Macaca fascicularis: one gene and its partners. The protein of the gene in region 2 purifies or fractionates together with the protein of the main gene of each other region. This does not show direct contact. Links are inferred from orthologs where the notes say so. Each region holds a gene or a part of one and is shown on either strand. Other genes may lie near its edges. The genes, in order: SKAP1, FYN and CD36.

Region 1 (4,351 bases), on a different chromosome or scaffold from region 2:
TCAAAAAAAAAAAAAAAAAAAAAAAAAAAAAAAAAATTCTTAATTTTCTGGGGTCCTTTTCCTGCCTATCAGTACATATTTAGGCTACCTCACCTACTACAAATTAATGTATATTTAGATCGTTTTAAGCAATTTTAGCATTAGATATAATTGAAAAGAAAGAAAATTGGCTGGGTGCAGTGGCTCACGTCTGTAATCCCAGCACTTTGGGAGGCCGAGGTGGGCGGATCACTTGGGGTCAGGAGTTCAAGACCAGCCTGGCCAGCATGGTGAAACCTCATCTCTACTAAAAATACAAAAAACATTAGCCAGGTGTAGCGGCGCATGCCTGTAGTCTCAGCTACCTGGGAGGCTGAGACACAAGAATGGCTTGAACCTGGGAGGCAGAGGTTGCAGTGAGCCATGATAGAACCATCACACTCCAGCCTGGGTGACAGAGCAAGACTCTGTCTCAAAAAAAAAAAAAAAGAAAGAAAAAGCAAGAAAATTTACTTTTCCTTCCAATCATATAGAAATTGTTTTATTTTGTACTGTGTTTAAGCAATTGCCCTTGTGTACTCTGTTATTAATGTGAATTATCTAAAGTAGCCTAAATAAATGAAAATTTTGCCAGGTTTCAATAAAGCACTTTGCCATTGGTCCTTTTAGGAATGGAAGACATCGTAAAAGGAGCTCAAGAACTTGATAACATAATCAAGCAAGGATACTTGGAGAAGAAAAGCAAAGGTAATGGTCAGACCCACAGATTTCAGAACATTCCAGGAAGGGAAGGGAAGTGAGGAAAAAGAAAGCTAACATATTGGGTGCCTTCTCTGTGCCCGGTACTGTGCTAGGCAGATACAAGGCAAAAGTAATGCAAGGAAAGGAAAGGAATCTGGTGTTTGTGTGTAGGCTAAAGAGAGATGTCCCAGCCTTGAGTAGACCATAAGCTTCATCAAGATAGGGATGGTTATATCCTGCTCACCTCTCTATCCCCAGTGCCTGGTATGTGACAGGTGCTTAATAAAACTTATTGAATCAATGAATGGTGTTCTTGTCCTTATCTCTCAGTGTGCTCCCACTGGGTAGTTTTTATATCATATGTGAAGCAGCCTACTTTCAAATTTCAGACAAGCCCAACTCTTTTGTTTTTTGTTTTTGTTGTTGTTGTTGTTGTTTGAGACTGAGTCTCGCTCTGTAGTGCCATGGGTGTGATCCTGGCTCACTGCAACCTCCACCTCCTGGTTCAAGTGATTCTGCTGTCTCAGCCTCCCGAGTAGCTGGGACTACAGGTGTGCACCACTATGCCCAGCTAATTTTTTGTATTTTTAGCAGAGATAGGATTTCATCATGTTGGCCAGGCTGGTCTTAAACTCCTGGCCTCAACTGATCTGCCTGCCTCAGTCTCCCAAAGTGCTGGGATTACAGGCATAAGCCACCACACCCGGCCTTTTTTATTTACTTATTATTTTTTTAAGATGGGATCTCCCTCTATTACCAAGGCTGGAATACAGTAGTACCATCATAGCTCACTGCAGCCTCCAATCCTGGCTCAAGCAATTGCTCCCACTTCAGCCTCTCAAAGAGCTGGGACAACAGGTGCACAACTGTGCCTGGATATTTTATTATTTTTTATGGAGACAAGGCCTCACTTTGTTGCCTAGGCTAGTCTCAAACTCCTGGCTTTAAGCATACCTTCCATCTCAGCCTCCCAAAGTGCTGGGATTACAGACCTGAGCCACCACTTCTGCCTTCAAACCCAACTCTTGACCTTTAACTCATTTAATTAGAATAGGTACCACTAGAGTTGGCATCTCAGGTTTAACACTCAACAGGCAAATTGGCTCAGCACAAAAAAAAAAAAAAAAAAAAAGCTCTTTCATGGCCATGGCCTGGAGAATCATTTTTCTTTGTCAAAGGCAACACATAAAGATATAATGGAGAATTTGAAAATGTACAAGATGAGATAAGAACCCAAAAGATATAAAGGAGGCTAGATAAAAAGACAGCTGTGGGGCACAGAGCAGGCACCCCTGTTTAGAACTTGGACCTTTAACTGAGCTAGTCCCCCGGACCCTGAGTCAATATGGGATAACCTGTGGGAGTGAAAAGGAGGGTTTTACAGTCCATTAACCTGGGAAATAAAACAATAACACACTGGACTGTATGTTGTTGGATTTTACAGACTCTTCAGTGATGGTAGTTACCTGAATTTATGTCCCCTACTGCTGTTCTGTTTAGATCATAGTTTCTTTGGATCGGAGTGGCAGAAGCGATGGTGTGTTGTCAGCAGAGGTCTCTTCTACTACTATGCTAATGAGAAGAGTAAGTGTTCTTCATTTACACAGCAGCATCTCACTCCTGGATGCAAACACTTCGTAAATTCTCAAGCACTTAGATCTCAAGATAGCAGTCCTTAACTAATACCCATAAAGGGACATGCTTAGGAAAGAAATAGGCATGGGCAAATAATACCTTGCCCATCACCGAAAAAGCAGAACCCAATTTAGAAATTATTTCACATTTAAACACTAAGAGTGTGGTCAGCACATCAAAGGGTTATCTTTTATTATGATTAGCAATACATTATCAAAGTTGAATGTTTTGATTTAAAAAATAAAAATAAAAAGAACTTCAAACTCTTTACAGGTATCAATACCATAGCTAAAATATTGAAATAAATTAATTCTGAGAAAGACTTAAAGAACTTAAACAATGGCCCAGAAATTGAACCCCCTAAGGGCATGCTCCCAGCTTTATCCTAATGACTACTAGGAAGTAAGTAGTCCAGTGAACATTCCTATAGCCATAGAATATTGAGACCCAAATGGTTGCTGTACCCAAGGCACGCCCTTCAGCCAGATGACAGCAGCAGTGAAGTGTTGACTCAGGCCAGAGATAGTTTCTTAATGAGCCACCACTGACTTAATCAAGTCAACACTCATGAGCTAACCCTAGAAGACCTCCCATCCATGTTTAACGTAATTGATTGATTTATGAAAAGGAATAGAGGATATAAGCACAATAGGAGGCAATTACAAATAAATACAAGCTAAAAATTATTACTATAGATGAATGCAAACTTTCGAATAGGGGATACACTTCTACAGAGTTGGACTGCCCCAGGAGTAATTCTAAGAAACAAGAGGGAGACAAAATTTAAAAAACGTCAATTCTTGGCTGGGCGCGGTGGCTCACGCCTGTAATCCCAGCACTTTGGGAGGCTGAGGTGGGCGGATCACAAGGTCAGGAGATGGAGACCATCCTGGCTAACACAGTGAAACCCCATCTCTACTAAAAATGCAAAAAATTAGCCAGGCGTGGTGATGAGCGCCTGTAGTCCCAGCTACTCAGGAGGCGTGAACCCGGGAGGCGGAGGTTGCGCTGAGATCGCGCCACTGCACTGCAGCCTGGGTGACAGAGCAAGACTCTGTCTCAAAAAAAAAGCATCAATTCTTGTTGGGGCTTTCTTGTGCTGTGCACCTTCGAACAGAGGCCAGCGATACAGATTGAGTAGAGCCTTTTTTTTTCCTTGCAGTCATTTTCTGTTTCTCCTTTCTTATTCCTTCCTCAAACTTAGTCCTCTCCCAGTGCCTGGATATCCAATGTAGGGAATAATCAGACACCCACCCAGTTGCCTTTGTACTTCCTGCACCTGCAGTACTAAGGTAGTAGAAAGAACTACAGCCTCGGGCCAGGCACAGTGGCTCACGTCTGTAATCCCAGCACTTTGGGTGGCCAAGGCAGGCAGATCATGAGGTCAGGAGTTCAAGACCAACCTGGCCAACACAGTGAAACCCCGTCTCTACTACTAAAAATACAAAAATTAGCCAGGCATGGTGGCAGGTGCCTGTAGGCTGAGACAGGAGAATCGCTTGAACCCAGGAGGTGGAGGTTGTGGTGAGCCGAGATCACGCCACTGCACTCCACCCTGGGCAACAGAACGAGACTCTTTCTTTTTTTTTTTTTTTTTTTTTTTTTTTGAGACGGAGTCTCACGCTGTTGCCCAGGCTGGAGTGCAGTGGCGCGATCTCGGCTCACTGCAAGCTCCGCCTCCCGGGTTCCCGCCATTCTCCTGCCTCAGCCTCCTGAGTAGCTGGGACTACAGGCGCCCGCCACCGCGCCCGGCTAATTTTTTGTATTTTTAGTAGAGACGGGGTTTCACTGTGGTCTCGATCTCCTGACCTTGTGATCCGCCCGCCTCGGCCTCCCAAAGTGCTGGGATTACAGGCTTGAGCCACCGCGCCCGGCTGAGACTCTTTCTTAAAACACTGAATCTTTGCTAAGTTACTTGAAATCCTTCAGATTTGCCCTTGGGCTTGGTAGCAATTGCCTCATGCTGCCTCCCTGCCTGCAGTAGTTATCACAGACC
Region 2 (4,351 bases):
CCCTTCCCCTGACCCGTGGGATTCATGGGCACTCCCAAGGGGAAGAACTGCCAGTGGCTGTTTGCCAGCTCTGACTTGTGAACTGAGGGAAGGAGAGATGGAGCCATGATTTCCCAAATGCAGGAACTTGGCCTCCTCCTGACACCTTGGGTCTCGCCTCTCTAGAAAGAGAGTTGAGAAAAGTCAGTCACCAAGCCCAACTTTTGGCTCCGATATTTAATTTCACCATGGATTTGTTTAAGCAGCGCAAGGGGGATTAAACTCCACACCCTAGCCAAATCCCCAGTTGGATTGTTCTCTTCTTTAATTCCCTTGTATTCCCTCTAAGAGGATCTGTTTTGTTTCTCACTCTCAAATACTCAGTGGTTCTTAGTTGTTGTTTTCTCCCAGTGACTGTGTTTCATCATCAGTGAATCAAGATATTTGTCTTTAATTTGTATTTTAGGGCAGATTTGCAAAAATCTTTGTGTTCTTTCAGAATAAAAAGTACCACCAAAATGTAGCATTACCCTGATTTAACTGGGAATTTGTCAGTTATATATTTAAGTTATTTTTATAATGGTCAACTTTTTAAATATTTTGTTTTTAAACAGTATTATTTTTTAAAATAATGCCTTTGGTTTTACATGTGTAATTAACTATTATTATCTTAAAATACTATTGTTTTGGTGCAATCCATTGTTCTAACAATTCTTTTTTCACCACTGTCTTACACGGCATTCTAATTGGGTTATGGGTACAAACCCAGAAAGCCGTTTCTCACAAATAATTGGCGTAATAGTCTTTACACCACCTAGTGCTAGATTAAGGATTGTTGCACATTTTGGTGTTTCTAAAACTCACTGAGGAGCTAACACGCCGTGTCTCTTTTCTTCAGTGAAGCTTAATTCACAAAAGAATTTGACAGTGAACTCATAATACCTATATTCAGGCATAGTGAATTGAAATTTCATTTTAGAATCTGGATTCTTTCACAGTTAAATATTCTAAAAATGGTTCCCACACACACATTCCAATTGAATGCTCCAGCATTCTCCCTTGGGTTTGGGGAGCACCTGCTGCTCATTCAGCACCTAGTGCTGAAATAGTAACTAACTGCCAGGCTTGGTTAAGGCTTGAGAATGTAGGGGGAGGATATAAGGCAAATAACAAAAGTCTTGAGGTGACTTAATGTGATGCCTCCTGAAGTGGCACAGAGTATCATTAGTTTGTTCAGGGATAATATATTGAAATATCTGCAACACCAAGTCATTTTAAGGGCACGCTTATTGACTGAGCACAGATCTCAAAGGTGTACAGTAACCAGTCCTTACAGTTGTGCCAAGGAAAAGATGTACAGGGCCAACCGTGATGGCTCCCTCCTGTAATCCCAGCACTTGGGAGGCCAAGGCGAGAGGATCAGTTGAGCCCGGGAGTTTGAGACCATCCTGGGCAACATAGGGAGACAGTCTGACTCTGTCCCCCGGCTAGAGTGCAGTGGCCCTGTCTCTGCTCACTGCCACCTCCACATCCCTGGTTCAAGCAATTCTCATGCCCCAGCCTCCCAAATAGCTGAGATTACAGGCACATGCCACCATGCCCAGCTAATTGTTTATATTTTCATTAGAGTTGGGGTTTCACCATGTTGGCCAGGCTGGTTTCGAACTCCTGACCTCAGGTGATCTGCCTGCCTCAGCCTCCCAAAGTGCTGGAATTACAAGCATGAGCCACAACTCCCAGCCTCTACAAAAAAATTTTTTTAATTAGCTGGTGTGATGATGTGTACCTATTGTCCCAGGAGGCTGAGGTTGGAAGATTGCTTGAGCCTGGGGAGGTCAAGCAGTGAGCTGTGGTTATGCCACTGCACTCCAGCCTGGGTGACAGAGTGAGACCCTGTCTCAAGAAAAAAACAGAAAAAGAGGAAGAAGAAGATAATGATGTACACAGATCACAATCCAGGTGCTGGCAAATGCCTTTACTTATCCAAGTCCTCACACCTGGGGGAAAGCAAAATACAAATAAGTACTCACGGGCATTTTTCTCAGAATTCTTATAGGTAGGAAGTTACTGAAAATACTATTCCTTTATTCATATCATATCTATCTATTCTGACTTTTTTTAATGCTTGTTAATTATCTTCATATACATTGAGGCTGTGTTTTGTTATTTCCCAGCAGTTAATAATGCTCAGATATCAAGAGATTCAAGAGTTTTGTTTTTTTGTTTGTTTTTGAGACAGAGCCTCACTCTGTCACCCAGGCTGGAGTGCAGTGGCACGATCTTGGCTCACTGCAACCTCCACCTGCCAGGTTCAAGCGATCCTCCTGCCTCAGTCTCCCAAGTAGCTGGGGTTACAGGCTCATACCACCACGCCCAGCTAATTTTTTGCATTTTTAGTAGAGACGGGGTTTCACAGTGTTAGCCAGGATTGTTGTCTCCATCTCCTGACCTCATGATCCACCCGCCTTGGCCTCTCAAACTGCTGGGATTACAGGTGTGAGCCACCATGCTTGGCCTTTTTTTTTTTTTTTTTTTTTTTTTGGAGACACAGCCTTGTTCTGTCACCCGGCTGGAGTACAATGGCACGATCTCAGCTCACTGCAACCTGGGTCTCCCAGGTTCAAGCAATTCTTCTGCCTCAGCTTCCCGAGTACCTGGAATTACAGGTGCCCACCACCACACCTAGCTAATTTTTGTATTTTTAGTAGAGATGAGGTTTCGCCATGTTGGCCAGGCTGGTCTCAAACTCCTGACCTCAGGTGATCTGCCCGCCTCGGCCTCCCAAAGCGCTGGGATTACAGGCGTGAGCCACCATGCCCAGACTAGAGTCTTTTAAATAAGTGTGGAGAGGGTCTCATGCAGTTGCCATTTCAAATCAAGGTCTTAGATTTCTGGGTTTTTTTGCATACAGGTGGCGGTTTTAACACAAACCAGTTCTGGTCACGTCTGGAGGGGAGGAAAACAACCCACAATTCAAATCTGATTTTTTTAAAAGAGTGAAAGAGATGAATTAGGGATAGAATCCAGGATAGATTGGAAAGGAACTGAATTAAGCTAGAAAAAATACGTACAGGGAAAGGCTAAGGACTAAATCGGAGGTGAGGGGAATTCATGGGCAAAAAAGAAAGCCTATGCTGTTGCATTTTGTAAATGACTATTACGAAGTATTTTCTTTCCTTGATCTCATTTAAAGGTGGTACTTTGGAAAACTTGGCCGAAAAGATGCTGAGCGACAGCTATTGTCCTTTGGAAACCCAAGAGGTACCTTTCTTATCCGCGAGAGTGAAACCACCAAAGGTAAGATAACGAGTTGAAGAAGTTGGCTTGTCATTCAAATCTGTGGATTAGTCAGAGGGGATGAAAGGCTTATCTGTAATGTACAAGGTTTTTAAAATGGCACATATCCTCCCTGCCTTATGAGTGGAGTCCTGTTTTCAGTCTTGCCTCCAGGCTCTAGAACTGCAGACAGCACCAAAAGAACTACAGAGGCTCCAAATCAAGACCTTCCTCCTGAAACAGGCTGGGGGCGGCTTTACTGCTCCGGGCACACAAGATCATAGAATTTTCAGAAGTCCTTTAGAATTTCGATTTTCTGAAACTCTTAGTTCCTCGGGTGCCAGTCATATGGGTTGTTTTTGCTTTCCTTTTGTTTTTAAATAACTGAGGACTTCACTTCTCTTCCTCCAACTGTTGGACTTTTCATTATTTAACCACTCATTACAGCCCACAAGAGGAGATAGGTCAAGGAAGAAAAGAGTAGGGGCCTCTAGCTTAATCCACCAGATTCTCTGTTCCTGTGGAAAGTGTTGTAAAACAGAAGCTTGGAGCTCACTTCTAGAGAAAAAAGCCTTAGATTTCTTTTGCACATGCTGCCGCTACCTCCCAGTATGCCCCTGGGTAGAGAAGACAGGGGAAGCAAACTCAGCCGTGCATCGTGGTCCTTCTCTCTACCCTGGAGGGAAGGAGTGTCGGAATTGAGTCTACGCTGTATTATACAACAAGGGTGACTGAGCAGTGTGTTTAAGAAAAATATCCAGGAAGCTTTCAGTCTCAAGTGCAGAATTATTTTACTGCTAATATCTTCTGACATTTGCAGGACATCAAGAAGCATCTTCTTCCTGTTACTGAGTGGAGATGCTGTGTGTGTGTGTACATGTGTGTGTGTATCCTTGGTAATTATTAATCAGAGTCAAGAAAATGAGGCCTAAAAAGCAAGCTAATAGTCTAAATGACTGGAGCTGCTAATGCTTTGCTTGTTTACCAGGTGCCTATTCACTTTCCATCCGCGATTGGGATGATATGAAAGGAGACCACGTCAAACATTATAAAATTCGCAAACTTGACAACGGTGGATACTACATTACCACCCGGG
Region 3 (5,088 bases), on a different chromosome or scaffold from region 2:
GGGAGGGAGAAGGAAGTACAGAAAGGGTAGGTCCTAACAGAAATTACAGCCTTAGGAAGATGTAATGGGTTTCAAAAAATTTATAACCCCAAACCCCCAAATTGCCTGTTCCATACAGTTTTCTATGGATTTTAGCTAAATGAAATCAAGAATAACTTCATACCCAGAAAGGCTTTCCCAAGAGTGTAGAAAAAGCTGACTGTGACTCTTCACTTTGTGTTTGTCTTGAAATTCCTTTTGGCTGGTTGTCAAAGATGAGTCAATAGGCAAAAGCCTTAAGGAAATCAGGCTATAGGCAAATTGCAGATTTCATCAAGGAAAGAAAATGTTTTACAGATACTTATCAGTCCAATAATGCCCAAGTATTGTGCTCTGCATGCCCATTGCCTAATAAGAGAATAAAATGCAAGAAAATTTATGGTCAGGAGTATTCAAAAGGATATAAATGAACAACTTGGGATTTCTCTGCAAAAATTTCAAGCAAATGTTAGCAAAAACAGAATCATTTTTATTCTTATCTGTCTACAACTATTTATATAAGAATGACTAAATCACTGATTGAGGGTGAATTAGCTTAAGGTTTTGGAATCCTTTGGTGTCCTAAACAAAACTGAATTTTTAACTAAATATTATCTTTCATGTGATTCCTTTGCATTTTTCTCTTAGAGATCTAATACTAGTCTGCACCGTAAGGGTTTTTTATGCCTTTGAAGAAAAGCGAAAGAGCATGTTCATAAATACTTTTTGCATTTGTTTACAAAGATAGTTTCAACCGTGTTTAAGGGCCCCAGAGTTGATGAAATGAGGACAGTTAAAACTAAATATAGTCATGTTAAAGAAGTAACTGGACAGAGGAATAAAAACAAATAAAATAACATAGCAGATCCAAGGTGGATTGATTCAGTCAGAAACTCATCAGTCATATAATTCTGAAGCTACTGTGATGTCCCTTCAAAAAAGAAGACCTCAAATCAACCTTTATACACAAAAGCCTCCCGGAAAGTGTGATTAATCTTCCCATGTGAGATTTTTGGTGCCTCCCTTATGGTCTACTTGTATTAATGTGGATGTGATTTGCTTGATGGAATTGGTCAGCAGATTATCTGTACTTTATAGTTGGCATATCATGGCTTATTTGTTGAGATCTTGGAAAACACTTTTTTTAAGGGCAGTTCATTTATTGAGCATGTAGTATCTTTCACAGATAAATACTTTGTTAACCTATATTAAAACATTTATTATTTAAAATTTATTTATTTCTGTTGCTTGTTTATTTTTATTAATTATTACCTTATTGATTACTCACAACAATCTTGTGAATTTATCTGAGTATTTTGAACCATCTGTTTATTGGGAAATCGATTTTAAATCTTTAAAACCACTCAAAAGAACAGATTTTCTACGACTTTCAGAAATCTCTTTTACAACTATATAATGTTTTAAAGTATTCTCATCAATTCATATGTCCATTCATTACTCTAATAAGTCTTATTGAAGGCCTTGATGTGCCAGGTACTATGAAAGTTTTTAAAAAAAACAGAATCACTCTACTCAGGAAGTCCTCAGTTCAATTCAGGAGACATATAATCTTACCCAAGCAGTGTGGTAATAATTTCAGTGGAATAGAGTGGCTTCTACCACCATTTACTTTTTATCGATTAGAGAGATGAATTATTGGAAGATGCTGAAATAAGTGAATGAAATCAGGAGTAAGAATGAGGAATATATATATATATATATATATATATATATATATAAATTGATACAATATAATTCTGTGTGTGTGTATATATATATGTGTGTGTATATATATGTGTATATATATATGTGTGTATATATATACACACACATACACACACACACACACCCCACATCGCTTTCATCATAGGAAAGAAGATGTATTTCCAAATCGTGGGAAGAAAAATAGCTTTCCTTGACCCTTTCTGACTGTCCCTTGAGTAGTAATTCCTATGGAACAAGAAAGACAGTGATTGATTTCAGCTGTGCTAATAGCTTTTGGCCTGTGACTGAAGCCTCTCTCTTCCTTTCCTTTCTATTTACAGCTTTAAAATAGCTCAACAATGTGACACTGTTCTTTAAAATTCTGAGAAATAAAAAGTGAAAAGAGGGTAGTAACATAGAGAAACCAATAACATAGAGAAACCAAACAAACACATTTATTTAATGAGTTAACTTTGTAAAAGTGCCCAAATAGCTAATTTTTAGAAGTATAGCTAATGTGGGAATGTGAGACACTGGGACAAGTTTGTGGAGAAATTTGAAATCACTTACATTCTATCAGCTATCTATCAATCTGCCTATTCTACTCATTAGCAGAATTGGTCCTGCCTTGAGAATATTGCCTACAGAAGAAGAAAGTCAAGGCTAAACTAGAAAAGAGTTGAGCAATAGTAGGAGATGATTCATATTGTCATTTAACACAATGCTATAATCTGCATTCTCAGTAGTTAAAAGCATTAACAATAAAATTCTGAAAGTAAGACTTTGTCTTTACCTGTGAGAAATAATCTAGAGAATACTAGCACATCAGTTAGGAAGACAAGTCCACAAATATCTGGAAAAAACTGGTAATAAAGAAATATTTCAAAAAATAAAAAAGGTTTTAGAATTTGACTAGCACTAATCTAAAACATAAAACCTGAAATAAATATAGTAACTTGCAAGCAATTTACAAACTGTCATCAAAGCCTCCTGTGAGAAAGATTTCCATTTTCACTAATGCATATACATAAAAAGACTATATCCTTTTATATGGGTTTATTCTAGATGATCACTGGAAATTTAAATAAATAATCACTTCTTTTGAGAAAATAGTTAAATAATGCAAAAGATAAATTACTTAGTTTTATAGAAGAATTTCATTAATGGCAATAGGTTGGATATGCAAATATTATGAAACACCCAATTATTTACTTTTGTTCACATAACTGTATATAAACGCATTTCTGATGTAATTACACTTAAATACACATAATTTCTTATTTACTTTTTAATTATTCCCCAATACTCTATCATCAGCATTCTGTCCTCCTCATTCTAAGAATACTCTCCATGTAATTGTATTCACGTATAATATGTCTTAATCCATTCTGGTTGCTATAAAAAAAAAAAAACACCAAAACCTGGTAGATTTATAAAGAGCAAACATCTAATCCTCACAGTTCTGGAAGCTGGGGACCCCAAAATCAGGGCACAGGCGGATTTGATGTCTGGTAAGGTCACTTCCTCGTAAAAGAAGGCTTCTTGCTGTGTCTTCACCTGGTAATAGGGGCAAAGAATCACCCTGGAGCCTCTTTTGTAAAGGCACTAAGGCCATTCATGAAGGCTCCGCCCTCATGACCTAAATACCTCCCAAGGCTCCAACTCCAAATACTCTTGCTTTGGGGATTAGGTTTCAACATATACAATTTGGGGTACATAAATATTTAGACTATAGCAGTGAGCAAGAAATAAATCATTATTTCAAGTCACTGAGTTTTGACATTGTTTGTTAATGCAAGTATGACTTGTTCTATTTTGACAGAGGCAGAGCCATACAATTCTATTAAATCAATAATTTCAAGAGAAAAACATTCCAAAAAGTTAATGTTCATATCTTAGGGCCATGTCTAACCACATTCAAAGCAACAACTTTATTTTTTCAAGAGAGCAAAAAGAATACTCATTTCAACACAGAAACCACTCATTCTTTCAAAAAAATTTGAATGTCTCTGATATGTCAGGCATTATATCAAGATCCACCACTACAATGGTGAATAATATTTAACATTTCTAGTCCTTTTGGAGCCTAAGTTTGAAGAGTTAAAAATTAAATTACTCAGTTTTATGTATTCATGAATGTTATTAGCATGGTAAGCCAAGAGTTTTAGGGGAAAACATAAGAGAATATTTGACCTAGTCTAGGGTAGAAGAGAGGGTTTTAAATTTTTTATTTTAAGAGGATAAGACGTCAAAGCCGCCACTTGAAAGATTAGAAAGGGCTGTCTAAATTGGGGGAGTTTAAGGCAGTGAGGAAGTACAAGGCATAGGGAACAGTTTGTCCAGCATCCTAGAGTGCAGACAAAAAATGTATATCTGTGAGGCTAAGATGCTTAATGTGACTAGAGAGGGAGTGTGGTGTTAGAATTTCCTGTTAGTGTCACAACAGGATACTTATGGAGAATTCTAACAAGGTCTCAGCCAACCCTACAAGAAGCTCTGGGATGGTGACCTGAAAAGAGACTAGAAGTTATGCAAGAGCTGGATAATGCAGTAAGTAGTAAGACAAACTGCTGCTGGCTGAATTGAGAAGCCAAGTCAAGCAAGTTTTCAATGTGGCAGCCTGCATGAATGATGTGTGTGTGTGTGTTTGTGTGTGTGTGTGTGTGTGTCTTCCCCAAGGTATGTGTCTGAACACGTGCAGTTAACTTATGATATTCTTCACTTGTGAGTTACTTGGAAAACTGTTAATGCAAGCAAAACCATAGATGTGCTTTTCTCCAAGGACACTGAAGGAGTGTCGTAGTGAAGGAAGATGATGAGAAGAGTGTAACAATAAATAAGATCAATTGGTTTCAGAAGAAAATGAGTGGTAGGAAGGCCACTTCTCAGTAAACTGGACATTTACTGTTGTCAGTTATGACACCAGTTTATTATTCTGCCCAATTGCTCCTATTTCGTGTCTTCCTTTCCATATCTTTACATGCCTCTAAGTCTTTACGGCCTTCTGCTCTAATTTTTAGTAAGACTTGCTTTTAGAAAGTGATCTTTAACCCATTCACTGCCAAGTGGAAACTATAATAACAACACAAATGACTTTGGTTTCTGGAATACAACGTTCATTGGGAAATTTATCTAAGGTTATTTAAAAAAGTTTATATTTCTCAATACCTTAATTTTTTTGTGCGTGGAAGAAATGGTGATCCTTTGATCAGACAATCTAATAATCTTCCGTCCTCAAAATTATTGTAAATCACAAGTGTGTCCATGTGGCTTTGGTGAAATCACTGTGTGTTAAATACTCCATGTGAATCAATAATAATATATTTTAAACATATTGAACAGGAACTATAAGAAAATATGAAACCA

The links.
Region 1: the proteins of FYN (region 2) and SKAP1 purify together in Homo sapiens (affinity purification with western blotting; 3 studies listed by BioGRID and IntAct, with this or other methods). This does not show direct contact. The link is inferred for Macaca fascicularis from reciprocal best matches to the Homo sapiens genes FYN and SKAP1.
Region 3: the proteins of FYN (region 2) and CD36 purify together in Homo sapiens (affinity purification with western blotting; 3 studies listed by BioGRID). This does not show direct contact. The link is inferred for Macaca fascicularis from reciprocal best matches to the Homo sapiens genes FYN and CD36.

The regions. Positions count from the first base shown.
Region 1 is NC_088390.1:58,534,252-58,538,602, forward strand, and holds part of SKAP1 (src kinase-associated phosphoprotein 1), read left to right. Parts: intron 1-648; coding exon 649-726; intron 727-2,220; coding exon 2,221-2,304; intron 2,305-4,351. UniProt on the Homo sapiens protein: Positively regulates T-cell receptor signaling by enhancing the MAP kinase pathway. Required for optimal conjugation between T-cells and antigen-presenting cells by promoting the clustering of integrin ITGAL on the surface of T-cells.
Region 2 is NC_088378.1:15,757,037-15,761,387, reverse strand, and holds part of FYN (tyrosine-protein kinase Fyn), read left to right. Parts: intron 1-3,172; coding exon 3,173-3,276; intron 3,277-4,243; coding exon 4,244-4,351. UniProt on the Homo sapiens protein: Non-receptor tyrosine-protein kinase that plays a role in many biological processes including regulation of cell growth and survival, cell adhesion, integrin-mediated signaling, cytoskeletal remodeling, cell motility, immune response and axon guidance.
Region 3 is NC_088377.1:140,878,343-140,883,430, forward strand, and holds the start of CD36 (platelet glycoprotein 4), read right to left. Parts: upstream 3,288-5,088; 5' UTR 3,181-3,287; intron 1-3,180.